2 linked regions of the Canis lupus familiaris genome follow. The protein of the gene in region 2 purifies or fractionates together with the protein of the main gene of each other region. This does not show direct contact. Links are inferred from orthologs where the notes say so. Each region holds a gene or a part of one and is shown on either strand. Other genes may lie near its edges.

The links.
Region 1: the proteins of KDM5B (region 2) and PAX9 purify together in Homo sapiens (affinity purification with western blotting, with the first as the bait; 3 studies listed by BioGRID). This does not show direct contact. The link is inferred for Canis lupus familiaris from reciprocal best matches to the Homo sapiens genes KDM5B and PAX9.

Annotation. Positions count from the first base shown.
Region 1 is NC_049229.1:15,387,465-15,391,262, reverse strand, and holds part of PAX9 (paired box protein Pax-9), read right to left. Parts: exon of another isoform or gene 3,351-3,798; intron 2,592-3,350; 5' UTR 2,202-2,591; coding exon 2,198-2,201; intron 1,397-2,197; coding exon 770-1,396; intron 1-769. UniProt on the Homo sapiens protein: Transcription factor required for normal development of thymus, parathyroid glands, ultimobranchial bodies, teeth, skeletal elements of skull and larynx as well as distal limbs.
Region 2 is NC_049228.1:463,284-467,783, forward strand, and holds the start of KDM5B (lysine-specific demethylase 5B), read left to right. Parts: upstream 1-1,506; 5' UTR 1,507-1,521; coding exon 1,522-1,725; intron 1,726-3,625; exon of another isoform or gene 3,626-3,765; intron 3,766-4,500. UniProt on the Homo sapiens protein: Histone demethylase that demethylates 'Lys-4' of histone H3, thereby playing a central role in histone code. Does not demethylate histone H3 'Lys-9' or H3 'Lys-27'. Demethylates trimethylated, dimethylated and monomethylated H3 'Lys-4'.

The sequences.
Region 1 (3,798 bases), on a different chromosome or scaffold from region 2:
GGGGGGGGGGGGTGCCACTTCCTAAGATACACACAGACTGAAGTCGGCTAAGGTAAAGGCCGGGGGTGGGAGCGATACGAAAAAGAGAGAGGCAGAGAGAGAGAGAGAGAGAGAGAGAGAGAGAAATAAAGCAGAAAATGAGTCCCAGAATGAGCAATGCAGCAACATGCAAGTTACTAGTAGTAACTTGGGGACCTCCGTTTCCGAGGAAAATGAAGTGAAGCATAAGAATGAAACCAATTAGGTGACATTTGAACTTCCTGCCTGAGCAAATTTGGCCTGATTGCCAGAATCCAAGAATACTGCAATTTCCACAGGGTGCCCGACTCCTCGCGGCCGCATCTGATCCCCAAACAAGCCGCCCGCAGCGGTGTCTGCAGCCAGCAGCCCCACGCCGGCTCAGGCCTCCCGGGCTGCGCCCCAAGTCCGACCCGGGCCGCGCTCTCCAAGCGAGCGAGCGGGTCTAAGGCTGCCGCGGCGCGAGAGGCGGGGGAGGGTGGAAAATGCGAACCATGTGTTGGGGATGGGGGGATGTTATGGGTCTGGTAGTTTGAGATGAGGCAGGAGACTGTGTGTGGCAAGGAAACAGAGGGCATGAATTTCAAGTTAATGAGATCAGGACACCCCCTGGGAGGACTCCTTCGTTTCGAAAGGAAAAAGCCTCAGGTGGTGGGATAGGCGCGGGCCCCGAGGCCGCAGATACGGAGACACCAGCGAGGGTGCAGAGGAAGGCTCTGCACACCCACACGTCCGGCCCCCGAGCCCTTACCTTGGTCGGTGATAGAGCGAATGCCCAGGATGTCGGTGACGGAATGGGAGGAGGGCCAGGTACGGGGCATGGCCACCGAGCCGGGGATGGCAGGCACCCCGGGAGGCGTGGGCACCTTAGCTGCGGCCGCCGTGATGGGGCTGGGGTACGAGTAGATGTGGTTATAGGGCAGCGCCGGCTGTGGCGCCGGCTGGTGCTGCTTGTACGAGTCGTAATGGCCCTGTTGAGCCAAGTTGCCGATCTTGTTGCGCAGGATGCGGCTGATGGAGCTCACCGAGGGCACGTTGTACTTGTCACACACGCCGTCCGCCAGCAGGCGGTCCCGGATTTCCCAGGCAAAGATGCCAGGATCCCTTTGCTTGTAGGTCCGGATGTGCTTCACCACGGTGGGGGTGGTAACTCGGGGCTTGCTGCCCCCAATGGCTCCTGGCAAGATCGAGCCCGTCTCGTTGTAGCGCGCCAGAATCTTGCTGACGCAGCCGTGTGAGACCCGTAGCTGGCGGCTGATGTCACACGGTCTGATGCCCAGTTGGGCCAGTTCCACGATACGAAGCCGGATAGCGTTGGGCAGCGGCCTCCCGTTCACGAATACTCCTCCCAGCTGGTTCACCTCCCCAAAGGCTGGCTCTGCAAAACCAACACGCGGCGCGCGGGGACGCGCCCCGGCAGTTTGGGACAGCCGGTTACCACTCGGCCTCCGCCCACGTCAGGGGGCTGGGTAGATGCACCCACCCCCGGCGGGGAACCTGGGCTTTTCCCAAACCCTACTGTCCCCGAGCCTTGCCCAACAGCCCCAAACCACTAAGGTCGAATCGGACACCCTCCCTCCCTCCCCCCACCCCGTTCCGGTGGTGCCTGCGGCCACTACAAGCAAATAAAGTGGTGAGAAGCAAGGCCGCTCCAAGTGCTCAAAAGCCTCCGAAGCAGGCGGGGAAATCAGTCTTGACGCCTGCAACCGGCTCCTTCTCGGCTGCTCGGCGCTAAAAGTCTTTGGGCCGCTACCGCTTGAGCCCCAGCGCCCGGCCTGGGGACCGGCGCAATTAGGCAAGGTCTAGGAGAAACTACGGTTGGTTTGGTTGTTTTGTTTTGGTTTGGTTTGGTTTTTTCCTGTTCTGAGTTGTGTGAGTTTATGTGAAACAAAACTTGGTCCGCCACCGAGGCTACAGGGCTTGCTGATGCCACCGCTCCCTTGTTTTAAGATCAGAAAATGGCATCAACAGCAACCCAGTAGCCAGCGTTCACACACTGAACTGCCGTGCGCCCTGACCCTTAGCGCGTTCCTAACAACTTGTAGGAACACGAGCAAAGTCAATAAGAAGAGTGTGAGCGCTCAGCGGTGCGCGCCCTCGCGCTCCCTCCCTCCCTCCCTCGCCTTCTCCTTCCCTCCCTCCCTCCCCGGCTCTGACAGCGTTCCCCGCCGCCACTCACCCATTGCTCCGAGCAGTACACCAAAGGGGCCCCAGTTCCGAACTCCCAAAAAGAAACTTTTCGCACAGCCCCAGTGGCCCGGCTTGCCGCTGCCCCGGACCGCCGGTGCCTCCGCTTCTTCCCGGGAGGAGGCGGCGAGAGAGCAGAAGGAAGGAGTAAAAGGAAGTCTGTGCCCCGATGAAAGAGGCTAGAGTTCTGCATTTCAATCTAAGCAGCAACGTGGGCTGGCCCGAGCTGGGCCGGGCGGCTCCGTCTATCACTCACCAGGGACACGCCCTCAAAGAGGAGGGCCCGAGGTCAAGCTGCGTGGTGATTGGTGCGGGCTGCTGAGCGACAGTGCAGTCCGGGAAAGTTCTTCCGCTGTCTCTTTCAAGCTTGCTCTGCACCTGGGTGACTAAATACAATGAAAATGGATGTTTGACACCTTTCCGGCGGCAGCGCAAACAGACAACAAAATCAGGCTGATAAAAATGCTGAATAAGCAAATGAAAGCGTTTAGTCTGAATAGACTAAGGAGGAAGGAGTTGAGGAAACTTGGCGGGAGGGGGGAACAGACGCCTCCGAACTGAAGGTAGAACTCTAGGTGAGAGGTGGGGGCCACCGTCAGGTGTGTGTGTGTCGGGGGGGGGGGGTATTCTTAGAATAGCCGGTCCTGCGGGCCTCCTGGGGCTGTCCGGAGATGGACGCTATTACAGGAGGATGATACCTCACTCCAGCCTATGCTAGGTAGCTAGAGCGCAGGTGAGTCGGTAGGCCGATCCGAGAGACCAGGAGGTTAAGGGGAGACCGAGCCAGAGGTGGAGGCCACTGTGACCGCCAGGTGGAGACCCCTCTGCTGCCCCTGGGACTACCCCGCCCCCAACGCAGTTTCTGGTGGGTTCATTCGAGAGCGCGGAGGCAAACCCTAGCCACGCAGGCTCCAGGCTGTGGCCGCACACGGTTCGCGGAGAAGTTAAGCAGCTCCCAGCCAACATCGAAGATTGCCTGGCTCGAGGCACTCTCCTTGGAGGCCTGCGCGCCACTGCGCTCAGCTTCGGTGCTGGACTGCTGGTACTTGATGCCACGGTTTGCCGGTTTCCCCCCCAACCAGTGAACCGCAGCAAAAGGGTCTTATTTAATGAAAGAGATTGGTCCCAAGAAAGTTGAACATCGAGCCTGCACCTACATGCAATTCCCCCATCTTCTGTTTAGCTACCAGAGGCCCTGAGAATCAGCCTACTTCTGATTTTTCACTTTCGATCACTCCAAGTCTAATCTAAAGTGTACATTACTCTTTTTGGCGGCCAAAATTAATCACATTTTGAATATGGGTTGTGGAGAATGCTAATCAAAATTAAAAACAAGATGGGAGACATCTTTAGAACCTGGGTGTTTGGACTGCTTAGGTTCAAGGATACTAGACAGTCATAACATTACTTCTTGTGCACAAGGATTCCTGTTGATCCTCCCACAATCCCAAGGGATGTGTATGGCTCTGGTCTACCTACAGGGAAGCTGACTGGGCCCAGATTCTGGGCCAGTAAGTGACAAGAAACCAGAAGAATGAATGGTCATCTCTGCTTTTTGAAATGAAGAGCCACCTCCAGATTTTCAGGCTTCTG
Region 2 (4,500 bases):
TGGAGAGCAGGCTTCTCCCCTCCCCCTCTTTTTAAATTGAATCCTTAAGGGTCAGAGAGACTTCCTTCCTCAAGGTGAACCTGAGGGCAGAGCTAGGACCCTGTTGACCCAAGCGGCACCTCCATGGGGTGGGCTGGATAAGCGCGATCTTTCTGTGTGTGTTGAGGTCCTACTTGTTGAATGTCCTCTGTCCTCTTCTGGGCAGGACACCAGGCACTCAACCTGCCCCCCTCCCTGCCGCCTCCACAGTGCTCACATCTCTTACAGTTACTTCTCTGTGCCTGCATTGCTTGCTCCGCAAAATGGAGAGGATAGCAGTACCCACCGCTCAGGATGGTGTGGACATTCAACACGAGCAGGCAAAGCATTTGCGTTACACACAGTGAGCATTAGATAATGGCTGCCACTCACAGGCTAAAGAATTCCAGATTCTCATCTCCACTTCTGATCTCCAGATTTGTGCCGTCCGGCCTGTTAAAGGTTTCCGACGGACCAGACTCAACGCATCCAGAGGGACCACGTTATCTCCCTTCTCTTGCTGATCTCCTGTGTACAAGCTGGGGGATGCCGCAGCGATGCCGCCGGGCCGCAACCACTCCGGCGGCGGACCCTCCACGCCCGAGTCATCCCGGACACCTTACTGTCCCTCCGCAATGTGTCGCGGTCCTAATTGATCTCCTACATTTGAATCCCCCTTCCTGACGGACAGCACCGCTGTCCTCACTCCGGCACCCCCTTCTCGTCTACATTACTTTGTCTTCTGCTTCCCTGGCGCCCACCTCGCTATCGTGCGGCTCGAGGACCGCTCTTCCCGCGACCCCCGTCCCTCCCAGGGACCGTCTCCAGCACTTGTTAGCGGTGCGAACTTGGGCGAACTGCTTCTGACCTGGGCCTCCCCGACTCCTTGTCTGTAAAGTGGGAAGGAGGGGACCTGCCCCGTGGGGTGGCCGTGCAGGTTCGGGGGCGCATCCTGCGGAGCGCTTAGACGCGGTGCCCGGGACGGGCCAGCGCTCACGGGCCGGCTGGTTACTAACATCCTAACCATTGTTGTCTCGCCTCCATTTTGTTGGTATGTTCCAGGCGCTCCCCCCACCTGGAGGACCCTTCCCCGCCCCCCCGCCCCCCCCCCCCCCCAGTGCCGAACGCCGCCTGCCGGTCCCCGGCGTTTCCCCAAGTGTGTGACCTCGGGTCGCGGCGCCTGCCCCGCGTGCGGGCGCGACTCCTCCTCCACCCGCGCGTTAACTTCTGGGGGCACCGGCCGCGGCCCCAGCGCACCGGCGAGCAGCGCGGGCGCGCGGCCCCGCAGCCCCGAGGCCCCGGCCCCGCCCGGTGCGGGGGCGGGGCCGGGCGCCGGGCGCGGGGGGGCGGGGGGCGGGGAGGGACTCTTTTTCCTCGCCGTGGCGGCGGAGGCGCACGGCGTGGGGAGCGGCGAGACGTCGTCGGAGGAAGGCTGAAAAAGCCCAAGGTGCTGCCGTTGCGAGTACAAGTGGGACCCGCCGCCGCCGGAGCCGCCCCGCGGCGATGGAGCCGGCCGCCGCGCTGCCCCCGGGCCCGCGCCCCGCGCTGCCCCTCGGCGGCCCGGGCCCGCTGGGCGAGTTCCTGCCGCCCCCCGAGTGCCCGGTCTTCGAGCCCAGCTGGGAGGAGTTCGCCGACCCCTTCGCCTTCATCCACAAGATCCGGCCCATCGCCGAGCAGACGGGGATCTGTAAGGTGCGGCCGCCGCCGGTGAGTCACGCCGGCGCCCCGGAGCCCGCTCGCGGCCCGGGCGGGGAGCGAGGACGCGCGGCCGGGGAGGCCCGGGGCGCGGGGGCGGGGGCGGCGGCAAGTTCGGGGCTGCCCCGGGGTCGGCGTCGAGGCCGCGGGCGGGGGCCGGGGCTCCTCCCGGGCGCTTCGGCGGGGCCGCCCCGCGGGCCCGGGCGGACGGGAGGGCGGCCCGGCCCGGGGGTGGGGGTTCGGGTTCGGTTCCGGGCGGCGCGGCGGCCGCGCTGGGCGCGGGGCGCTTCCTGCCGGGGGCGGCGGCGGCGGGCGGCGCGGCTCGGCGGGCCGGGGCTCGCCTCCGCCGGGTGCGGGGGTGCGCGCCGGGTGGGGGTGGGGGACTCGCGAGTTGTCGTGCGCGGACGAAAGTTTTCAATATGGCGGCGGGAGCCCCTGGTCCTTTGTGTGGCGGCGGCGGCGGCCCGGAGCGGCCCTCACCTGGGCGCCCCACCCTGCAGGCGGGGGCGCCCCCTGTCCCCCGGGCCCCGGCCTCCTGGGTCCCCCGGGCCGGGCCGCCGCAGGGGGCGCCCCGCGCTGCCGGGGGCGGGGGGGGCCGCGGGGAGGGCGCCGAGCGGCCGCTGCGGGGGCCGTAAGTGTGCGGGGGGCGCCGGGGGGGCGGGGGGCCGGCGCCGCGCGGGGGGCCCGGCTGGGGGGCGGCGGACGTGTCGGGCCCGAGGCCCGCGCCCGAGGCCGAGGTGCGCCCCGCCGGAGCCGCGAGCGGGGCGCGGGGCGCGGGGCGCGGGGGCTGCGAGCGCGGAGTCCTCGCTAACGGCTCCAACGGGCGCCGGCCTCCCGCCCCGCCCCGCCCCCACCCGGAACTGGGCGCGCGCCGACGCCCCCGCCCCCCGCCCACCTGGCGGCCCCGCGGAGCCTGAGAGCCTGAGCCTGCGGCCGGGCGGGGCGGGGGCCGCTGGGGCTGCCGTCGGAGACCCCCGCCCCCGCCCCCGCCCCCGCCCGGCTCGCCCTTTGTAGTGACACTTCAGTGGCGGGGGTCCTGCTGTCTCCCGCCTCCTTTCTCCCCCAAATTAAACGCAGGCTCCCCGCCTTGGTGGTTCTCGGACAAGTTTGAAGACGGAGATGAGATCCGTGCCCCGGAAGACGGCTGGCCCGCTCGTCCGCTCGTCCGGGGGAAACGTTTGAAAATACACCGTTTGTCTCCCGAGGTGGATCAGGCGGCCGAGGTGGCTGCCGAGGTAGCTGAGGTGGATGAGGTGGCCGAGGCTGCTGAAGGGGCCGAGGAGGCTGAGGCGGCCGCGCCGAGCTGGCCTTTCAGCCTTGCCGCGTAGCTGAGCCTGTGCCCCGCCGGGAAGGCGCCCCGAGTGTGCCGAGCACCCACAGTCCTGTGGGTTGACTCGCCTCGCCTCGCCTCGCCTCGCCTCGCGGCGGGAGGAGCCCGGGGCGCCGTCCTCGGCCTGCCTCCCGCTGCCACACGCACGCCGGCCACCATCTTGTGAGGCGAGCAGGGCGTCGAGGCCGGCGGGTGAGGGGGCGCCGGGAGGCCGCGCTGGAGACCCTCGTGCCCGGGGCTCCCGTCGTCCTTTGTGTGGCGAACTCTGTGCCGCCCGGGCAGCGCCCGTTGGAAGGAGCGCGGAAGGGATCTTCCCAGAAGTTGGAGCCCGGGAAGCGCCTCGTTGGGACGAGGGTCAGGGACCGCCCGGGGCCTGCCTCACGAGGCTGTGGGCAAGTGGCCGCAGACCCCAGGGCCCGGGAACTCCGCCGTCCGGCCTGCGGCGCCCGCGCTGCTCCGACTTGTGTGCGTGACGTCCGGAGGCGGCGGCTCCCGGGCGAGCCGGGGCCGGGGCCGGGGCCGGGGCCGGGGCCGGGGCCGGGGCCGGGGCCGGGGCCGGGGCCGGGGAGGAGCCCCGCAGCGGGTTGCGCCTGCCCTCATCTCCGTATCTTTAATTAATGGTGTTTACACACGTCGCGTCCGTGGCTGCTCTCCGTGAGGCTCCCGAACTCTCGTCCCTCTGCAAACTTGGGCTTCACGGAAATTTGTGAGGATCTAGTGAGGTAAATGCGGTGAAGGGAACACGCTCAAAAGACTTAGATCCTGAATTGAAAGTTTAAAGGGGAACATAAACGTCTTTCAGATTACATCAAGTATGTAGGACAACCAGATTTATTTCCTGGGCTTTAAAAAAAAAATTTTTTTTAAACTTACAATTAGTCCGACTTCTGGTTTTGCTGCCTTTAAAATGTACACTCTCATTTCCTCCTTGATGTGCTTAGATGTCTTTTTAAGGACAAATTTTCATCTTGCTTTGTGGTATTTGGAAATGATTAATATTAGGAGTGTAACCATTAGGCAAAAAATAGTTGGCTGCTCGGTGGATACTTTTTTGGGTCTCTCAAGTTTGATTGGAATATACTTGATGGCTTTAATGACTTTCTTTGTTGCCCTCAAACGCCTAACATTTGGCCATAGATAGGCAGATTCCACATATTTCTTCTTTGCCAGTGTCCAAAAATAAGAGATTTAAATCAAACCCCAGATGGCACAGTAAACACATTTTTTCAGCTTTAACTTTCTGTGGGTCATTATTTTGATCCCTTCATCTTTATAGCCAAAGCGAAAAACTTTCAAGTGTGTTAACACAGTCAGCGTCTTTGAGTGCGCCTGCGGGTTCTACCATTAGGAGCAGGGAGGAGCTTAAATACACGTCTTTGTCTGGTTAGAGGCGTTAATGATCTAGAGCTCCTTTACTCTCCTCCCAGCCTATCAATCTCCCTAATTTTAGGTTTGAT